Linked DNA regions of Rattus norvegicus. The protein of the gene in region 1 purifies or fractionates together with the protein of each later gene. This does not show direct contact. Links are inferred from orthologs where the notes say so. Each region holds a gene or a part of one and is shown on either strand. Other genes may lie near its edges.

Evidence for each region.
Region 2: the proteins of Smarca1 (region 1) and Cecr2 purify together in Homo sapiens (affinity purification with mass spectrometry; 3 studies listed by BioGRID and IntAct, with this or other methods). This does not show direct contact. The link is inferred for Rattus norvegicus from reciprocal best matches to the Homo sapiens genes SMARCA1 and CECR2.
Region 3: the proteins of Smarca1 (region 1) and Bptf purify together in Homo sapiens (affinity purification with mass spectrometry; 4 studies listed by BioGRID and IntAct, with this or other methods). This does not show direct contact. The link is inferred for Rattus norvegicus from reciprocal best matches to the Homo sapiens genes SMARCA1 and BPTF.
Region 4: the proteins of Smarca1 (region 1) and Pole3 purify together in Homo sapiens (affinity purification with mass spectrometry; 3 studies listed by BioGRID and IntAct, with this or other methods). This does not show direct contact. The link is inferred for Rattus norvegicus from reciprocal best matches to the Homo sapiens genes SMARCA1 and POLE3.

What each region holds. Positions count from the first base shown.
Region 1 is NC_086039.1:131,887,944-131,893,085, reverse strand, and holds part of Smarca1 (probable global transcription activator SNF2L1), read left to right. Parts: intron 1-94; coding exon 95-217; intron 218-2,525; coding exon 2,526-2,658; intron 2,659-5,142.
Region 2 is NC_086022.1:155,628,334-155,633,475, forward strand, and holds part of Cecr2 (cat eye syndrome critical region protein 2), read left to right. Parts: intron 1-59; coding exon 60-243; intron 244-1,594; coding exon 1,595-1,734; intron 1,735-2,451; coding exon 2,452-2,556; intron 2,557-4,522; coding exon 4,523-4,572; intron 4,573-5,142. UniProt on the Homo sapiens protein: Regulatory subunit of the ATP-dependent CERF-1 and CERF-5 ISWI chromatin remodeling complexes, which form ordered nucleosome arrays on chromatin and facilitate access to DNA during DNA-templated processes such as DNA replication, transcription, and repair.
Region 3 is NC_086028.1:92,578,807-92,584,470, reverse strand, and holds the start of Bptf (bromodomain PHD finger transcription factor), read left to right. Parts: upstream 1-2,057; 5' UTR 2,058-2,276; coding exon 2,277-2,919; intron 2,920-5,664. UniProt on the Homo sapiens protein: Regulatory subunit of the ATP-dependent NURF-1 and NURF-5 ISWI chromatin remodeling complexes, which form ordered nucleosome arrays on chromatin and facilitate access to DNA during DNA-templated processes such as DNA replication, transcription, and repair.
Region 4 is NC_086023.1:80,988,871-80,994,594, reverse strand, and holds Pole3 (DNA polymerase epsilon subunit 3), read left to right. Parts: upstream 1-1,852; 5' UTR 1,853-1,865; coding exon 1,866-1,931; intron 1,932-2,025; coding exon 2,026-2,111; intron 2,112-2,421; coding exon 2,422-2,540; intron 2,541-2,772; coding exon 2,773-2,939; 3' UTR 2,940-5,087; downstream 5,088-5,724. Other genes in the region: C5h9orf43 (uncharacterized protein C9orf43 homolog), read right to left, coding at 1,002-1,062. UniProt on the Homo sapiens protein: Accessory component of the DNA polymerase epsilon complex. Participates in DNA repair and in chromosomal DNA replication.

The DNA.
Region 1 (5,142 bases):
TACTGTTGAGAAAACTCTCCAGTTTAATATGTCTATGTATACTCTTTCTGATTAATTTTTCTCATAGATTTATTCATTTCTTTCTGGATCCTAGGTCCCAAGGAATCCTGAGCTCCCCAACCCAGCTATAGCTCAAAGAGAAGAGCAAAAAAAGATTGATGGAGCAGAACCTCTTACACCACAAGAGAGTGAAGAGAAAGATAAACTTCTCACACAAGTAAACTCTTTTAAGTGGCTGAACTACTTTTAGTCAATCAATAGAAAAAAGAATAAATACCCACTTTTAGTGTATACAGTTGTCTGATCTGACATACCCATGAACACACATTTTACCACATATCTTTATTTTTATTTTTTAGAAAATTCCCTTTGTAGAAGATGCTCTCTATAAATATTGGTTGAATATATACATGGAAAACAAAAGTGTCAATTATAAAAAATAAGACGTGCCTTTTACCAATTATAATAATGCTAGTGAATCCAGATTTGAATTTTCTTAAATAATAATTTCCAACATATACCTAAAAATTAATTTTTTTGATTGACTTGCTCCCTGAAACTGTACTACACAACTTTTTTTGTTTATGAAAAATTCCTTTTGAAAGAAGTTAAGAGTTCCCAAGAAAGAATGTAAATACAATAATGAGAAATTCCTGAAGCATTTTCATGTCATCATCATGTAATTAAATAGGGAAAGTTTCCACCTTAAAGCTTTCAAGTAAGTTTTGCTTTAAAAATTTTTTTATCACACTTCTGAAATGATTTCTGGTAAGATACACAAAATGTGAACTTATGACATTGTCTTAGCCAGCTAAATTTATTTCTTGAACAATTTTTGGAACAATGTTCAAGGCACAGTAGTAGAAAATTGTCCACCGTAGTTGTTAGCTGATAGTTTGAAATGTTTTTCACAAAAAGGAAGGATTAATTCTTGAGGTGATGTATAAAGAAGTTGTAGAATGGGCTTTACAGTATCACACTGTGTCTCAGGAATAAGAGTTAATTAAAAGTAAAATAAGAGTTTTTTGTATTTATATGTTGATACAGGGCTTTTTCTTTTAATATCATAATTTTATTGAATGAATTTTGACAAAATACTTTCATAAGTTTTTGAACAAATGCCTGTAAGTCACCACAATTTAGCATGAAATACAGTTGCAGTTGGCCGAGTTTTAAGAACAACCACAGAATAAAACATTTAAATATTAATGTTTGCTTTTATTTTAATTTCAAAACTTATTTCCCGAGCACAAAAATAAAGTTGTGCCCTTTGAATGCTACACTGCTTATAAGATATTCTGAATATACAGTATAATGTGAGTATGTAATCTCAATTGAGATAATTGAGTTTATAATTAGAAGCATAATCAAGTTTTTTGTCCTTCTGAGTTGAATTTAAGCCATCTTTTTCCGATGCTACAAATTTAATGCTTAAGTTTTCTTGAGTTTCATGTTTCCCACAATGGCCTTGAATTCACTCTGTACTTGAGGATAACCTTGAACTTCTGATCCTCCTGACTTCATATCCTGCCTGTTGGAATAAAGGGGCATGTGCCAGCCACCATGTCTGTTTTATGTGATGCTCTGAATTGAACACAGGGGTTCGCCCATGTTAGGCAAGGTTCCTGCCAACTGACCTACAATATCATTGATGGAATAATAAAATTGCAAAGTGACCTAAAACACTGGCCGTTACATATTTTAGTAAAAAAGTTCAGATGCTTGAGTACTATATTTACAGAGGTCCTATTTATGAATATAGTCTTTAAAAATCATGTTATTTATTATTATTAAAAGAGGCGTGTGCATGTTTAACATCTATGGAAAGGCCATAGGACAACTTTTGAGAATCAGTTCTTTGCTTCTACAGTAGGATCCGGGGCTTGAACTCAGGTTTTCAGGCTGGTATGGCAAGCAATTTCAACTGCTGTTCCATTTGCTGGTCCTTATGAGTACAATTTTGAGCAGAAATTATTTACTCATTTTCGTCATGAATGATTGAAAGAATGTCTTCCTTTCTTTTTGGATTTTCTTTCAGTGTTCTTTCTTTTTTTTTTTTAATTTTTAAAAATCTTTTTCAGTGTTCTTTCAATTCAATACATCCACATCTACCTCTCTCTCTCTCTCTCTCTCTCTTAATTTACATGAGACCAGATCTGTGGGAAAAGCCATCGAAACACTGAGATATCAGAATTCAAGCATTTATGTTAAAATTTATATTAGAATTGTATTTTAATGTTGTGGGCATCAGAGAAATATGGAATTAAGACTACGCAATGTCTTAGGATCATAAATCAAGATAAAGTACCTGAAAAGTACATTTTCTTTAAAATAAAAAAAGCAGTTACTTCTGTAGCAGCTCAAACTCAGCTTTTGGTTTGACATTAAAGAAATGAACTTTATAAAAGGGCACATGTTAAGTATTTTAAACTGCTTTTCATGCGACATTGTACAGAGATAAGTGGGATCGTAAGTGAATTTATTAATTTGCCATCTACTGATGATGTTTAAATTTTTATTCTTAGGGTTTCACAAACTGGACTAAGAGAGATTTTAACCAGTTTATTAAGGCTAATGAGAAGTATGGTAGAGATGACATTGACAATGTAGCTCGAGAGGTAGAGGGCAAGTCCCCTGAGGAGGTCATGGAGTATTCAGGTTTGTATGTCACTTCAAACATCATACTTTAATTTTAAACGTATACATATCTTTTGACAAAAGATTTCTTTCTTTTTATATGTGAGTTTGTGTCCATGTGGATGGGACCTGTGTATAAACAAGTGCCTATAGAGCTGGAGTTACAGGTTGTGAGCTGTCTTATGTGGGTGCAAAGAACCAAATTTTGGCCCCTCTAGAAGAGCAGCAAGTGCTCTTAACCACTGAGCCATCTCTCCAAACTGTCAGGCTTCTGGAAAGAAATCTCATTAAAATAGGTTAATCTATAGGTTATTTATTTGATGTATATGAGCACACTGTAGCTGTCTTCAGACACACCAGAAGAGGGCATCAGATCCCATTACGGATGGTTGTGAGCCACCATGTGGTTGCTGGGAATTGATCTCAGGACCCCTGGAAGAGCAGTCAGTGCTCTTAACCGCTGAGCCATCTCTCCAAACCCTGTTTCTTTGTCATTAATTTAGTTGCGTCTTTGTTCAGAGATGTCAAAATGTTTTTGTGAATGAGATGTAAGTAAAGATAGGATATGATTGGCTAGGAGACAACTAAGTTTGCCAAGTAAAGCATAAACAAAAGTGGGTACTGCATGGGTTTTCTATTCTCTCATTTCACTGATCTGGTCTTTTAAAAGTCTTGTCCTGCGGCTTCTGCTTTAGCAGTTTGGATTAGTCATTGCACGTCATCTTTGAAGTATGGAGTTCTTATCAGGCACATTTAGAGACTCAACTGCCCTCAAGGAATTAAATCAGGTAGCGGGGGGCCTTATCAACTTAAGGCAATTCAGAATAGATCTAAAAAGATTTCTTGGCTAAATCTGTTCAGTGGCCCTTGAATCATTTCCCTCTCCTACTCAGCTGTGTCTTTAACCTCAATCAGAATCAGAATAGCTGTAGAGAAGCATGTGGAGTTATTATTAATTCCTGTGTCAGAGCATACCTAAACTGCCAGGCTTCTGGAAAGAAATCTCATTAAAATAGGTTAATCTATCTGTTTTCTATGTGTAGTTAAATTTCAAATAGCCTGACCTTTCAAATTTGGTCTGAATATTAGCTATTTACAGTTTGAAAGAATTTTCCATAAAAAGAATGCAATGTTAAAAAGTCATTGTATAGTTTCTTTGTTCCCTTCCTGGCCAGATATTTGAGATAACTACTGAAATTCTGTGTTTATTAGCAAAAACCAAAAGAAAACGTTAAAAACTCATAAATAAATCAAAGTTTAATCATTATAACATATAGCTTTTAGTTTATTTAGAGTACTAGCTAATGCTTAAAGAAAATCAGTTGTAACTAGAGAACACCTACCTACTCTATTTTCTTTCATGGAAACCTGAAAGGGAATTTAGAAGTTAATTTTGTCTGGATTTTATTTCATATAACATTGAATTCATAAACAGTAGCCTGGCAGTACTATTGACCTTATGGTTGGAAACAATGAGAGCTTTGGGGGAACAATAGACCATGGGAGAGATAGATTTTCATGAAAGTTGAGTGAAAAGAATGTAAAGGGACGTGGCATGGGTGTGGGTAAAAGATATCAAGTAGCCAGGCATGGAGATGCATGCCTGTGATCACGGCGTAAGGAGTCCGAGGTAGGAGAATCATGGGGTTGATGGCAGCCTAGTCTGTATAGCATGTTTGTGGTCAGCCTGGGTGTAGCGAGATCATGTTTTAAAAATATAGACTAAGGTGTCCTAGCAAGGGTCTGAGGTTCTACTTACGACTCTGAAATAAAAAAGGGAGGAATGAGAGAAAGAAAGCAGGAGAGAAAAAGAAAGATACTCTGAGCTGGGGTTTTAGTGCAATGATAGATGTTCCCTTAAAATTGTCACTAAACCAGTACCAGGAAATAAGTGTGAAAGACACAGACAGTAAAATTTTCTGAAGAATTTTCTTACTTCTACTCTCAAGTTCTATGGAGCAAACCCAAGGCCTTAAAGTCCAGGCAAGTGTTCTATGCTGGTTCTGCACACACTCCCAGCCTTTCTGAAGAATTTTCTTCAGACTTCGGGGAGATGACAGGACTGTTTAATTGTTTTTCATCGTCATGCCAGAGGCTGGGGAGAATTGAGTGGGCTTATTTGATTGATTGGTAGGAGAAGAATTGTACAAAATTGGGTGTTCATGAGTATATTGTATTTTTATGTACGAAGGTATATGCATGAGTGCATGTGTGTGTGTGTGTGCGTGGGTGATGGAGGTGCTAGTGCGTGTATGTGTGTGTTGAATGAGTAACTTGGAGGATGCATAAATGAATATTAATTACTTATGCAAACCATCATATGCTAACACACCTTTCTTGATATCCTCTAAAATGGAAGAATTTTTCAATGTAGATAATGTCATTAGAAGGCCTTTCACTGAAGTCAAAAGATGTGACATCTTAATGCAACTTGGGGATTTGAATATCTTTCTGTATGTGCCCAGTTAAAATCTCTCATCTTTTAAGAAACTATAGGTGACTAGA
Region 2 (5,142 bases), on another chromosome or scaffold:
CTCTCTCTGTCTTCTGTTTTATATTGATGTATATATGTATTTGGGGCCATTTGATTTAGGCCTCAGACATTCCACAGCTACCTGGAAGATATCATCAACTACCGTTGGGAGCTTGAAGAAGGAAAGCCCAATCCTCTGAGAGAAGCCAGTTTCCAAGACCTTCCTCTGCGTACTCGAGTGGAGATCCTGCATCGCCTCTGTGATTACCGGCTTGATGCGGATGATGTCTTTGATCTTCTCAAGGTACCTGTCTAGCAAGCGCCTTTTCTAGAGAGTAAAAAGCCAGCATTTTGAATGTGAAAATTGAAAGTATCAAGAAGCAAGAGCTTAGCTTCTTCTTGGTAGTATTCGTGCTCATAATCAATATATACACCTATATATACAGCCATACCCACATGGCCACAGGAATGCCAGCTGTGCTGGGATATGGCTTTAAATTTTGGCTCAGATAAGAGAACCTACTTGTAGGTCTTCATACAAAACAGCAATGAATTTTTTTCTGTAATTAACAGTCAAACTATTCAGGGTGAGAAGTAATTTCTAATCCCACTAAGTCAGATGATTAAATGGAACAGTTCTTATTTGAGCTTTGTGCACAGACACATAAAAGTCATATAAGTTAATGTAGTCTCTGCTGAGCATTTGTGGTAACAGTGGGAAGGCTAGTGCATATCTGGCCCTGGAGTATTTTGGGAATTGTTTTGCTGGATCTCAGCTGGAATAAGTAAGGTGCTATGTTGGGTGAAAAGATGGCTCAGTGGTTCGGAGTCCTAGTCTTCCAGAAGACCCAATTTCAGTTCCCTTGCACCCACATTGGGTAGCTTACAATTGCTTGTAATTACAGCTTCATGGGATCCAATGCCCTCTTTTTTTCCTCCATGGTTACCTGAATGTATACGTACACATGAATTAAAAATTAACATTTCTTTAAAAGTTGCTGTGGGTTATGGCAAAGGTATAGTACAAAACTTCATGAAGCAAAGCTTTCAGAACATCTGGTTGATCTGGTTGGCAATTTGCATGATAGGGGCTCACACCTGTTGGGCCTCTAATGCCAGCACTTGGGAGACTGAGGCAGAAGGATTGTTGAGAGTATAAGGCTGTTTTGGCTTAGAGTGAGAGAAGTGTATTGAGAGTTCTGATTGTACTTGGTGTGACTGTCCTTCCCTTGACGTGAGTTCACATAGATAGCAATTCTAAACCATAGTCTGATTCCTCTTTTTGTGTGAACTAACTGTGGAAGCCATGGTTGGGTATAGGGAACATCTAAAATTTCTTCACCTTGTTCATCATAGAAGGTAATGCCTTGCCATTTTGTTCTGCCTTGTATTTCATCTGCACGATAGAAAATTGCATAAAGCACACTGGCATTTTAAAATATGAGGTGTATCTGAGTATAAATTTTGAGTTGAGTTGGGGATTTAGCTCAGTGGTAGAGCCCTTGCCTAGGAAGCTCAAGGCCCTGGGCTCGGTCCCCAGCTCCGAAAAAAAGAACCAAAAAAAAAAAATTTTTTTTTTTTAGTTGACTATTTAGTTTGCTCCTCTTTCTTGTTTTTACTCATTTTTTTCAAATCTGCTTTCCTCTTCTGCATAGGGTCTGGATGCAGACAGTCTCCGAGTTGAACCTCTAGGTGAAGACAATTCAGGTGCCCTCTATTGGTACTTTTATGGGACACGAATGTACAAAGAAGACCCAGTACAAGGAAGGTCCAATGGAGAACTCTCTTTGAGCAGGTACTGTCTCTGATGTCAGGGTTGTGAAAACTGCTCTGTTAAAAATGCTATGAAAGTTAATGTATCAGAACAATACAAAACTTTCCTTTTTTCCAATGCAATAATTAGTTGCCTGCAACAGAATGGTAAAGAGTTTCATACTGAAATACAAAGGAATTACTTTATAGCCTCTGCCACAAGACTGGTGAAAAATAGTGTGATTGGAACATGGAGAAGCTGCAGACAAGCACCTGCACGGTCACAGGCTGTGTAAAGCAGCAGTCGTTGAGTAGCCTTTTCCTATTAGGATTATTAATCTGCTTTCAGGCTCCACAACCCTATGGCAGAATCTCATAGGATGCAAAGTGTGGCCTTGGATTAAGTGCTTCTTAAATAAGCAGCGGCCTTATTCCTGAGGCATCTAGAGTGATGCTCTGGTTTACTGAGACTTATTTACTATTGTGAACAGTACTTGATATTATAACAGTACTTAGGAAGGTGTTAGGTTGTTTTTAATACAGTAAATGTCAGTTTGCTTTGATTCCACATTTTGATTTTGGTTCCACATTTTGATAATCCTTATGGAAAAGAAATTGCTCTATTTCCTGTTTCTTCTATTTTTGCATAATCCAGTTTTGTATCCCTGTAGCAGAAAACACTGTAATTACTAATACAGAAATCATATTAAGTTGTTAGTACTATGCCAGAACATTTCTATTTAATGATACTGTTTCTTAGGGAAAGTGAAAGGCAAAAAAATGTCTCAAATGTTCCTGGAAAAACAGGCAAAAGAAGAGGAAGGCCTCCAAAACGAAAAAAACTACAGGAGGAGATTATATCCAGGTACGAAATCTCATTGGTCCATTTTCATAGACTCATACTGTAAGGAACCTTAGTTTCACCTCATATTTATTATTTATTTGTGCATGAAGGAGGTCATGGTGTTTGTCTTTCATGTATGTCTGTGTGATGGAGTCGCCTCCACTGGACCTTGAATTGATAGACCAATGTGAGCTGTACTATATGGGTGCTGGGAATTAAACCCAGGTCCTCTGGAATAGCAGCCAATACTCCAGTTACTGAGCCACTCTCCAGCTCCTCAGCCTGCTTTTATCTTTTTAACAATAATGTTTTATTTTTTGAGATTGTCATTATGTCATTTCCCCCTTCCCTACCTCCAAACCTCTTCTTGTGTTCTGTCTGTCTGTCTGTCTAAATTGCTTTTATTTTTTTTACAGTCCAGTCATTATCCTCCTCCAGGTCTGGCCTCCCACAGTCCCTCATCCCTCTACCCTGTCTCCAAGAAGAGGTCCCCATCCTCACCTCATCCGTACCCCTTTGCCAGGCCTCCCCACTGTCTAAGCACTGAGGCCAAACCAGGCAGTCCTGCTGTATATGTGTCGAGGGACTCATACCAGCTAATTGTTCCTGTCTAAAAGAACTGCAGGGACGAAAATGGAGAACAGACTGAGGGAAAGGAGGTCCACTGACAGGTCCAACTTGGGAGCCATCGCAATGGGAAGCTCCAAGGCCTGGCATTATTACTGATGCTATCTATGGTGCATTTACAGACAGGAGCCTAGCGTGGCCCAAAAAGCAGCTAGCTGAGACAGATGCAGATACTTACACCTAACCAATGGACTGAAGCCAGGGACCCCTGTGGTTGAATTAAGGAATGGCTGGAAGAAGCTGAGGAGGAGAGTAACCCCATAGGAAGACCTGCAGTCTCAACTAACCTGAACCCCTGAGATCTCTGAGACACGCAGCCTGCTTTCTTATAGAAGCTAAGACCACCATCTCAGGGATGGCACCACTCACAATGGGCTAGAAAATGTCCTACAGCCAGACCTTAATGAAAGCATTTCCTCAATTGAGGTTCCATTCTTTTAGATAATATTAGCTTGTGTCAAGTTGACATAAAAACTAGGCAGCAAACTGGCTTTGCTTTTTCTTCAAACTAGAGCCTTAACCATTTCTAGTAACAGAATGAAAGCCTGTTCTCACAAGTTTAGAAGTTCTACTTAATTTAGCTATCCTTTCAGTAGCAATTTCAGTTATTTCTTTTTCTTTTCCCTCTCTTACCTAAAAGGAAAAAGTCCTGTGCAGAGGCAGGAGTATCCTAAGTTCTAGGCTAGCCTGGACTCCATAGCAAGCAAGGGTATAATCAAAAGAAGGTGGTAATGGGAAGGATTCTTAAAATCACATGGCTATTACATAAGATCTGTTAAACTTAAGCAGATTACAACTGCCTATTTCTTCTTAGTGGCATTTTGGAAGACATCCTGAAGTTACTTGAGACCTATATATTGAGCATTTGTTTACACAGTCAGAAATCCTTTTAACTACCTTAATGTTGGGAAGGTAGAACTATTGTATTGGTATGCATGGGCTTATACTACCCTCTACTGGCAAGTGTCCGTCTGGAGCAGAGGCAGTGCAGTTTCATAGCCCATGTTCTTACCATCTTCCTTAGATAAGGGTAACTTAAGCTTCTCCTTTCCAGCATAGCTTGGAGTCACAGAATGAGGGCACCAGGTTGTGACTACCATTTTTCTCTTCATTGTGGTGCTGCCATAACCTTGAGACTTAGCTCACTTAGCTCTCAGTACTCCCGTTTTCTGCATTAAGCCTACCCTTCATTCTAATATTATTTCTCTTTAGAATTATTCATCCTAACTTTGAATTCTAACTTTTGACTCCAGCCCCAGCCACCATTATGTTTACTGGGTCCATTCCTACAAGAAAGACCAAACCAATATGGCTTGTAATCGTCTTGTTTTAAATGTTTCCTCTTTTTCCCGTGTTTCAGTGAAAAGCAGGAAGAAAACTCCTTGACATCTGACCTACAGACAAGAAATGGTAACAATGATTTTTATTGCTGTTCCTCAACCTGATTCCTACACTCAGTCATACAATGTATTAGGATGATTCCACTGTCTTAAATTTTTTGTTCCCTATTTCATATCACACACACACACACCCCTTCTCACAGACACTTAGCATGAGAACTAGTTCTGTTCTGTCCCTTGCAACAGCATATTAAAGACTCAGACATTTGGGTACACATACACACATTAGATTTTATTTATAACTTTATTTTTTATTATTATCATTTTTAGTTTTTTTTCAGACAAAGTGTTTCTGTGTAAAGCCTTGGCTTTCTTGGAACTGAGTCTATAGACCAGGCTGAAACCTGCCTCTGTTTTCCAAGTGCTGAGATTAAAGGAATATGCCACATCTGATCTCTTGATTAGGTCTTAATTCTTTAATCCAAATGCTTTGAATATGGAAGGAAATAACCAATTTGTAGTATTGTAAAAGAGATAAGACATACATTTCAACAGTCTCAGTTTCAAAACCATTTTTCTAGAAAATAATACATTTTTAACCATTTCTAGAATATTAAAATTTTCTTTAAATCACAATAGT
Region 3 (5,664 bases), on another chromosome or scaffold:
ATTTATTTGTGTATGGGTGTGGGCATGTGTGTCACAGCTTGTATGTAGAAGTCAGAGAGAAACTTTTGGGAGCTGGATCTCTCTTTTACTTTTATTTTTGAGACAGGATCTCTCTATGTCACCCTTTTCCTCTTGAGTGCTGGGATTAAAGGTTTGCCATAATACCCTCCAGATCAAAAGGTGTGATGGCAAGGACCTTTACCCATGAGCTGTCCTGTTTGCTCTCTGTCCACACACACACATTCATGGCGTCACATGTGTCAACCCACAGCCCAGTTTGATGCCTGGTTAGATCACTCTATTTAAAATCAAACATACAAACATGTTTCAGATAAAAATCTTCATATTCTCTTGAAAAATAGAGAAGATTGGAACAGGCATGGAGGGACCTGTCTGTAATTCCAGAGTTTGTGAGGCTGAAGCAGGAGGATCACAAGTTTGAGGCCAGCCTGGAGTTCACAGTGAGAGTCTGTGGTAAAAACCCACCATCGCAGTGTGTGGTGCCGTACACCTTTGCACAGCACTCAGGAGGCAGAGGCAGGTGAATCTCTACCAGCTGGAGGGCAGCCTGGTCTACATAGTGAGTTCTAGGCCAGCCAGGGCTGCACAGCAAGACCCTGTCCTAATAAAATAAAACATCCACTATCATCAAGGAAGATCTGAAGACCTGCCTATTTGGGGCCTGCATTCCTATAGCTGTAGTCTTTGAACAAAACTTTAGCCTTTGTTTACCAAAGAATTCATAGGGCTCACTTTCTTTACTTTGGTACCACTCTCAGAGATCAACCCAAGTAAAGTGAATCAGTGATAAATTAGTAGGCAATTAGTACTTGCTTTTTTTTTAAAAAAAAAAAAAGGTTTATTTATTATTTCATGTATGCGAGTACACTACAGCTGTTTTCAGACACACCAGAAGAGGGCATCAGATCTCATAACAGATGGCTATGAACCACCACATGGTTGCTGGGATCTGAACTCAGGAGCGCTGGAAGAGCAGGCAGTCCTCTTAACCACTGAGCCATCTCTCCTACCCTAATACTTGGTTTTCAATTTTCAGGTTTATTCACTGAACCATATTGTAATTAGCCATTTGGTGGGCTGAATCATATTAACTATTTTTCTTCAAATCACTTTTTTGGTACTCACATCTATCAATAAGCACTCATATAGGTTCCTAAAACCTTTCTTTTCTTTCCAGAGGCCACACCGAGAACACTGTCTTGAGCCACCTCAATTTGGCGACATTTGGTGCATGTGTCTGGAATTTTATCTTGGTGACTAGCTCCCTAGGCCAAACCAAGACTGGTAGTTTGTCAAGTAGACATTATTTCCAGGTAACACAAACACATAACTTTGAGAAGCCAATTATAGACAGGACACCATCCTTCCTATCACAAGTTCTGGCTGAGGCGTGGAAGTTCCTAGCTGGGAAGTGGGAAAGGTGCCTGGAGGCCCGCAAGGAACCATGCTCTGGAATTTAACCCTGGCTGGTAGGGTGGGGACTCCAGGAAAGTCAGTGAAACCACCCTGGGGGTGTGGCTCCAGGCGTGCAATCCTGGAACAACTTCAGGCCCCTCTAGATCTAAGCCTTTGGGAGTTCTGTATTGGGACTGACTTATCTCCAGCTCCTGTCCCTGAGTGGGTGGCTTTGCGTGGCCACTGTCCTCAGTCTCTAGGACGCGCCTCCCCGCGAGAACCCCCTCTCCGCTTTTTCTGCATCAATTTCCCCAAAAGAACCAGTGACTTGGGGGAAGCTCGTTTTCCGGCCCGGATTTGGACAGACACGCATCGAGGTCTCCCTGAGCTCCAGTTGGTGGGGGGGTCGTCTCTCAGGAGGAGACACCAGACTGGGGGGACAGACACCCCACGCCACCCATCTCGCCCCTGCGCCGCCGCCGTCCAGCCGCGCAGGGGCGCTCCGGGGCCTCCCGGCCCCCGCCGCGCCGCTCCCGCGCTCCCCCTAGCGGCCGCCGCGCTGCCTCGCTCTGTCCCAGGCTCGTCGGGCGGCGCAGCTCACGTGACCGCGCTCCGGGCCTGCGGCCGCTGTCGGTTCCCCCAGTCACCGAGCGAGAGGGAAGAAACAAGATGGCGGCTGCAGGCGATCCGGAGCGGGGCCCCGGCAATTCGGACTGAGCCTTCTCTCTCCACCCCGCCGCTGCCGGGCCGCGCCCCTCCCGCCCGGGCCCCGGCGCCCTCCCCTCCCCCTCGGCCCCGGCGCCCCCCGGCGCCCCTCCCCCACCCCTTCCGCTCCCCCCCCCTCAAGCCGCGGCTCCGACATGAGGGGCCGGCGGGGCAGGCCGCCCAAGCAGCCCGCGGCTCCTGCTGCGGAGCGCTGCGCCCCGGCCCCGCCGCCGCCGCCGCCGCCACCACCGCCACCACCACCGCCGCCGCCGCCGCCGCCCGCCTCCGGACCCATCGGGGGGCTGCGCTCGCGGCACCGCGGCAGCAGTCGGGGCAGGTGGGCCGCCGCCCAGGCTGAGGTGGCGCCCAAGACCCGGCTGAGCTCGCCCAGGGGGGGCGGCCGCAGGAAGCAGCCACCGCCGCCGCCGGCCTCCGCCAGCAGCGCCAGCGGCCCGGGCCGGGGGGGCCGAGGAGGCGGGGGCGGCAGGACGGGGGGCGGGGGCGGCCACCTGGCCCGGACCACCTCGGCCCGCCGTGCCGTCAACAAAGTGGTGTACGATGACCACGAGAGCGAGGACGACGATGAGGAGGAGGACATGGTCTCGGAGGAGGACGAAGAGGAGGAGGAGGATGGCGACGCCGAGGAGACCCAGGATTCCGAGGACGACGAGGAAGATGACATGGAAGAAGACGACGATGACTCCGATTATCCGGAGGAGATGGAAGACGACGACGACGACGCTAGTTACTGCACGGAGAGCAGCTTCAGGAGCCATAGTACATACAGCAGCACTCCAGGTACCCACCCAGGCCGCCTGGAGACTCCTTCCCCACCTCCTCCCCTCCCCCTGGCTTGCTCCCTCTCGAGTGCAGTGCATCCTGCTTCCTAGCTCCCCCCACTCCCGGCCTGTCCCCCACGCGGAGGCCACGGCGCGTCTAGTGACAAAAAAAAAAAAAAGAAAAAGACAAAACAAAACTAGATTTGCAAGAGGAAAGAGGCGCATTGTTCAAAATGGAGATTGCATTGTTGCAGTTTGCAGGCCACACACTCGTTCGCTCTTCTTCTCCCCCCCTCCCTCTCTTTCCTCTTCAAAATTTGTGCCAAGTGCGGTGTCTCCACCAGTCAGGATTGAAACTTTGGCACACACGTATCCATTGAGCTCGTCTTTCTCTCCTTGTTTTGGTATGAGTGTTTTATTTATTTATTTTGCAATGAAAGAAGCCTCCTGCTTTGCAAACCGTTGCATGTCTAATACGTTTTGTTGTAGATTTGAAAGAAAAATGACCTGGTCCTTAAAAGTGAGAATTTAGATCGTGGCAGCACACATAGACGTGCTTCCTTTCCTATCCCCTAGTTATATAGTTTGGTAACTGTTTTGGGGGAAGGGTTGTTTTTCGGTGAGCAGGGAGCTTCCTGGGGTCCTGAGCGCTTGTTTGTGTTCTTCGAGTGAGCCCTCGTGGTCGCGTGCAACAGTTGCTGGTAAATGGCTGATTGAAGAGCAAAGCAGAGAACTAGACCAAACCAAATTTGTCAATCCTTCCGATTTAAAATTACTTTGGTTAAGTTCCAAATAAAAGTTTAACACCACGGGGGCCGTGTGTCCTAACCAGTTTGATCTTGGCTTTGCGTGGGAGATGCAGTTTCGTGGCACCTGTTGCCGAAGATGTGTGGTTGATCATCTAGGCGCAATTGCCAAAGATGAACTTTTTGAAGTCACGGTCTAGAAGTGTCAGCTTGAACCTGACAGGACTTTTTCTTGCTGTTCTGTTTCTGAGGAAAAAGCCCTACCTGGATCAGCAGTGGGTTTCATCAGTAGTGGTGAATTCTCGGATGTTTTTTCGCATTATTTCTTGAGGTTGGCCCTGAGATGTGTGTCTTGTTCAAGTAAAAGACACACATGCAATTGCTCCTTTGTATTAAATGAATAGTTATGGGACTGGGGGGGGGTGGTCCTTAACTTGTAGCAACAGACTGTCAGGCTTTTTTTTTTTTATGTCTCTATTAACCAGGATTCATAAAATTAAGGTCTAATTGTAAGGACATTTGCAGAGTAAATGAGGACATAGGGTCTTTCTAGGAGAGTCTGTCTTACTGTTTTCAGGGACGATGAGGGTACTAGGAGTGCTTAAATGTAAGTGTTTTCGTTTTTTATAAGTTCCTAACTGCTGCAAGTATGAGAATTAAGCCAGATTAGATTGGTTAACACCAAGTGAAAAAAGCCAATTTCTTTTGCCTGACTGTAAGAAGGTTGCCTATTTTATGGGCTTGGAGGGAGGCTATCTTTTTTTTTTTAATAAAGATTTATTTATTGTATATAAGTACACTGTAGCTGTCTTCAGACACATCAGAAGAGGGCATCAGATCCCATTACAGATGGTTATGAGCCACCATGTGGTTGCTGGGATTTGAACTCAGGACCTTAGGAAGAGCAGTCAGTGCTCTTAACCACTGAACCATCTCTCCAGCCCGGGAGGCCATTTTTTAGCAAGTTTAATTTCTTGCTTACTTAGTTTAGAGTGTCTTTTATAGGTTTTTACTGTAAGAAACAACATGTTGGGCATCTGTATCAAGAGCTCAGAATCGAACTGAAGACTGCCCACAGCAGTGGGGGAAGTTAGTTTTTGGGTTAGGACTCAGGCATTTTGGCTGGGCAGTTAAGCTAACTTTTAACTCCTTGAAGACCTGGCCAATAGTACCGATCAGTTGAAGGCCATTAAAATGCTGAATTAAATTGCAATTTGTGGTTAAAGATCCTTTTTAAACAACCATGTAAAATTTGGGAAATTTTTTTTTGTAAATAGGTTTTTATTTTGTTTTGTTTTGTTTTGAGAGACAGGGTCTCTACATAGCCCTGGCTGTTCTAGTACTCACTATATAGATAGATCAGGCTGGCTTTGAACTCACAGAGATCCACCTGCCTCTCTGTCTCTAGAGTACTTGGCAAGCTTGTATACTTAGGATACTTCAATGCCATTTTTCTTCTGATGACACTTATCGTCTACCTCTGTGTACACTTGTCCTATGATTATGTGGATTAATAACTTCAGGAGTAAGTTTTACCCTTAAACATTCTGTAACTCCTAACAGACACACACACTGCAGATATGTATAAAAAGTCTGATTGGATAACTTGTTGTTAGGGGAGAAATTTGATAATTCTCTAGTAGGTGCCATAACTTAAATGTTCAGGTTTTCAGACACTCAAGTTGGTGTAATTAGATTTGGATAAACACTTCAACCAGTAACTCTTTCTAACAGTAGACAGTATACTTAAAAAAAAAAGGACTATTAAAAGGATGTATTTTTATTGTTATTTTTGAAAATTATGCGTATGTCTATGTGAATGAGAGTATGTGCGCGTGGTATAGGTGTCTGCAGGGACCAGAGGTGAGGTGTCAGATCTCTTGGAGCTGGAGTTTCAGGTGGTCCGTGAGCCATCTGACATGGGTGCTGGGAATCAAGCTCAGGTCCTCTGGAAGAGCAGCAGGTGCTAAGGGCGAGGATCTCTGCTTCCAGAGTCTACTGCTTTAAACCGCTCTTTT
Region 4 (5,724 bases), on another chromosome or scaffold:
CAATCTCCCTTTTAAAGATGCTATGCAGTCACTACGACTACCTTATTGCTCCTAATATATAATTATATTTTATCCCTTTATTTGGTGGGCATGGGTGCCATGGTACACACAAGGAGGTTAACAGGAAGGCCATCCTGTAATGAACCCAGAGACTACACAGCTCACTGAGCCATCTCACCCTGTCCCCTTTTTAACTTTTTTTTTTTCCGGAGCTGGGGACCGAACCCAGGGCCTTGGTTGCTAGGCAAGCGCTCTACCTCTGAGCCAAATCCCCAACCCCCCCTTTTTAACTTTTAAGGACAGTGTCCTTTTCTTCTTCTATTTATACTTATTGACTGTCAAATATATGAGAGGACCTGTTTGGGACATAGAGAATAGCAATAAACAAACACTTGGTTCTAAACAGCTTCTAATTTAAATTAGAGATAGGGATCTAGTGGCCTGGGCTGCACCTGGCCTAGGAGTAATTTATCTTGGCAGGCACTTTTAGCCCATGTCTTAAAAACTGAAATGGTCCTATAATGTTAGATTTCTGGCTTTTCTCCTAGATCAAAATGCCTGACAGCACCAGTTCTAGCTAAATGGTGGCTGGAACTAAGGCTTATGACATCCTTAAGACAGGCCTGTTCTAAGTGCAGAATTCTCTCCATCAGAACAATCCCTTAGCATCATCACCCTAAAACTGTTGGATCGTTTTGTTTTGTTTCTCCAAATAGGAAAATGTTTCTTTGTAACGTCTCCATTAAAAATAGGAAAAAGTCTTGGAACATGTTTCAAGAAAAAAAAAAAGAAAGAAAAATTAAGAAGGAAATAAGCATTAGTTCTCAGGAGTATTTTTTTTTCTGTGCTTAATATGAAAATTATACAACTTAAAGCGACATTGTAAATGTTAACTCAAGTGATGATGATTTTGATAAGAAAAATGTAAGATGACTCACATAATGAATTAAAAAATACTTTAACACGGGTTTTTGAATGAGAATACAATGCATTATTCTTACAGTCAAATGCTTTTCGCCCTTTCATTACCGAACCAGTCCGAATTGAGCTGCGAAGTCTCATCAAGCTTTTGAGATTGCCCAGGTTACTGCTGTCCGAATAATAGCATTTTTTTAAACGAAATTTTAGATAAAAGTTATTCTTAATACAATTATCACAAAGTTGTGAAGGGAATGAAATTAAAGATGGACAATTCTAATGCATAATTCGGTGTAGTAGAATTGAATGAAAAGCTACACTGAGTTCCGGAAAAAAAGGGATGGGGAGGGCCACTCAAGTGTCCGTAGTCCGCGATTTCGCGGGATCAAAGCAGATTCCAAAGGGCTGTGTTCTGAGCCTCTGGGGGCGGACAATACTGAGATTGCGAAAGCACTCCCAAGTCTTGGCCCCGCCCACTTCTTCTAGAGGCCCCGCCCACTCGTCGGTCCCAGTCCTGCCTTGTCGGGCTCAGTCTACGCCTACCCCTTCCAAACTAAGCACCAGGCCGCACGGTTGCCTAGCAGCGGCGCACGGCACGATGGGAGAATAGACGGAAACCTCAGAGAGTCAAACTTAGTTTAGTCCGAAAGCTCCAGCGATGTGTAGTAAGAAACAAGCCTGGAGTGGAACGTCCAGGATGCGGTGGAAGCGGATGGAAACCTCAATGGTCCGAAACAACTGCGACATGGAAAAGCTGGGCTACCCTGGAGACTTGTGGCGGGGTTGATGTAGCAGAGAAGTTGTGGTGCGCAAAGCACTGTGGGACACTGGCAACGTAGGGTAGGACGGAAGCTTCCGAGGGTCATATCTTAGCGACGCGGGAAGTCCAGACACCAGAACTGTCTGCGAGGAGACCTGAGGAGGAGGGTAGGGCCCAAGCGGAGGCAATGGCGGAGAGGCCTGAGGACCTAAATCTGCCCAACGCCGTCATTACCAGGATCATCAAGGAGGCGGTGAGCTGCTCGGGCTGGAGAATGGGTCGAGGGCGGACGTGTGCCAGAAAGTTAACAGAATCCGCATGTGTGTTCATCTCCACTCTCCCTGCAGCTACCGGACGGTGTCAACATCTCCAAGGAGGCCCGAAGCGCCATCTCCCGCGCGGCCAGTGTTTTCGTTTTGTATGCCACATCCTGGTAAGCCGAGCAGAGGCGGAAGGGAGGCGCAGCGGGATCCTAACCCTGCGTTCGTGTCCTGGAACCCACAGGCCCCAGTTCCCTGCTTCACTAGAGAGCGACTCACAGCTCTCCTGCAGCCTCACAAATTCTGAGGCAGGTTAAACAAGACGGTTGTCGTAGCCCTTTGTACGGGGAAGGGATGAATTGAGCTGTGCCATACAAAAACCCATTCATCTAAGATAAATGTGGCTTTTCCCACCCCATCTCTGGCTGTCTCATGTCCCCACCACTTTGACAAGCTTCTGAAGGGCTTTGCTCTTTCTTCCAGTGCCAATAACTTTGCAATGAAAGGAAAGCGCAAGACTCTCAATGCCAGTGATGTACTGTCAGCCATGGAAGAGATGGAGTTCCAACGGTTCGTAACGCCATTGAAAGAAGCGCTAGAAGGTATCCATGTGCTCTTCTGCTTCTTAAACCACGTGAAAGATGTTCATCCTTTGTTCCCTGATCACCTGATTTCAATACTACTGCCATTAGGTCCCATTCACTGGTCCAGGACTGGTCATGATTCCACTCTGTTGAGTTGGTACCATTTCGAATATGTGATATGGGCCTGTTTATTCCTCTGGTGCCTCACTCGGTTTGTCTAATTAAACAATAATCCCCTGCTTCCTTACAGCATACAGGCGGGAGCAGAAAGGCAAGAAGGAAGCCTCAGAGCAAAAGAAGAAGGACAAAGACAAAAAAGATTGCGAAGAGCAGGACAAAAGCAGAGAGGAGGAGGATGAAGATGAAGAAAGACTGGATGAGGAAGAACAGAACGAAGAGGAGGAGGTAGACAACTGACTGGAGAGAGTGGGCAGACTCTGACACGGTGGAAGGGACCCTCAGATACTGAGATGTGTTTATGTGAAGCCTCTCCCTGCAAGGCAGAGCCATCTTCCGCAACGGTGCCTGAGATCAAAATAAAAACTGACCAGAAAGATCAAAGCTAGCTAGCTCTTCCCAAACTCAGAGCGTCTGAGTTACAGAAACCAGCTTTGCTTCATCAGTCTGCAGGTTATGCCTTATTAGTGTAAGGGATTCCGAATGACTACATAGTTTGGTATTGCTTGTTTACTTAAAGTGTATAGCTAGCTAGTTTTTGATCCTATTTCCCTGCTCCTCCAAAAAAGTAATAACATGTTTCTTGCTGCGTTCCAAGTTGCAGAGTTGCTAACCGGTCAGGGGGAAATGGGGCTTGGACCATGGTCACCCTGTTTGACTGTACAGTAATTGACAATAGATATTAATGCTCAGAATGGTTGCTCTTTAGGAAATGACTAAAAAGCTGTGAGAGAATAAGGAAATCTCCTCACTCGATGGTAGCATTGCTTGGCTTCTGGCTTTCTACACTTAGCTTTGTAGTCCTGTAGTGACTGTAGATGCCCAGTGCTCTGGTGTGGCTCCACTCCTAAGACATATACTCTTAAATTCTGAGTGTTGGTTAGAATCTGTCAAAAAAGGGTGCCAACTCCCCACCCCCACCCCCCCAGAGATGAGGATTGAACTCAGGGCCTTGCTAGGCAAGCGCTCAACCACTGAGCTAAATCCTCAACCCCAAGGGTGCCAATTCTTAAAAGCAGGTGGCTTAAACTTGGCGGTAACTCAGTGCCTGCCACTGTAGAACCTAGTGCCACCTCTTGGAAGGTATAAAATCCCAGATTGTCTCTTCTCTAGTCCACCTCTCAGATGATGGCTGCTGCTTTTTATCCCCTGAACTCATAGCAAGTTCCAGAGACTTTATCTCCTCCAGGCACAGCCTTTCTGTCTCCATCTCTCCCGCCTCTGCTTCCCAGCCCTGCTTTCTCCTCCTCTTATTCATTTCATCTTCTAGTCTAGGGACTCTGATAAAGTGCAAGGTCCTCAGATTGTTTCCTCATCTCCTGTCTTTTAAAGAGACTTGAGAAGCACCTCTGACCCTGAAGGTGAGAGAAACGGTGCTCAGGAATGTGGCACCACTGCTGCAGCTTTGAGCGTGCCTGTTGGCCTTTCTTTTCCCCATTTAGTGCTCCAAGCACTTTCTCTGTCTTAGTTGTGCACATGAGGCTGACAGGTAATGTAATATAGTTGAACACTGTTAACTAGTCAGGGAAATACAGGGAAGAGTTTGTTGAAAGTGACTGGAGACTGTTGAGAAGATTTTAATGCTTTCTACAAATAAATTCTTGTTTAAATGATGACCCACACAATGTACTTTTGGAAAGGACTCACCAAGACACCCCTCTTTTACCCCCTAACCTCAGCACACATACAGAGTCCTGTGTCTTCTTGGGTTACCAGCAGGTGAATAAGTAATCACAATTTAAGGGCACTGCTCTTCCTGAGATTCTCCTGGTTACTTTGTATATCTCACTAGCTCCCACTTCCTAAGCTCTTCCAGTGTCTAGCATTGTTCTAAGTGCTTTCAAGTATCAATTCCTATCCATAGATGTTGCCTCTATTAGCTCTCAACCACAGCTCTGTATCTCCAGTACACACAGTTCTCAAGTCATATTCACAAAGAACCCCAGTGGTCCTTTGGTTTATAGGCTTTTTCCTTCACAGCAGAAACATTGTTTAATTCCCATAAGCACAGTGCTAGACCTACTCAAGTCCCATTTATAATCCTGTGATTTCCTTTGAACTCAGTTTCAAATGTATAACTATATGCCAAGTAGATCTTCCTAGAATATACCTTTGCTTTCAGTGAGATCAAATCCATAGTTAAACCTGTTATTCAAGGCTTGTGTAAGAAGGGCTTACCCTACCATCTAATCTCCACTCTAAGGCTGTCAAGAATTGGAAGGGGCTCAGTCACAGAGCACTTGCCTAGCATGTTCAAACAAAACAAAAACCAAACTCTTCCATGTCTCGGGTTTGTCCTGCCCAATCGCTTAACTATAACATTCTAAGAGAAACCTTTTCTGGGAATGGAGGTTTGGATTTAAAAGTAAAGAATTCAACATCTGGAAAGACTCTGAGGTCATCCATCAGTTTTTTCTCAATCACACCTACATCATCTCATAATGGCATCTGGATTCTGAAGGTTTTCCATCAGACTTTCTCATCTCTTTAAACAATGAACAGAGACTAACCTGGATCTGGGCCATGGAAGAGCTCTTGTTCTAATCCATTCGAAACTACTTGGAGGCTATGAAGAGATGGCTCAGCAGTTAAAAGCAATGACTGCTCTCCCAGGGGACCAGGGTTTGGTTCCCAGCACCCACATGGCAGCTCACAACTTCTATAGCTACATGCCCTTTTCTGCCCTCCTGTCACTGCAGGAGGTTGGTACAGAGCCATGCATGCAGGCAAACACATCTGTACACATAAAGACAAATCCTTTAAAATTGTTTTGTGCCCTAGCCCCCTACTTTTACCTATGGGAAGTTAACACTGTTTAAAGAGAAAGTCCGCAAGGTATTAGAGCTAATCTATGATCACTGAGATGATCCAGTGGGCTTTGGCCTTCTGTTTGTGTTTTAGTAAATGTTGTAAACGGTTAGGATAACTTTAGATTTACAGAAAAATTACAAGGAATGTGGTTCTTATACCCTTCACCCAACTTCTCATGTTAACAACTTGAAGTCCAATTTTCCTAGTGAATTAT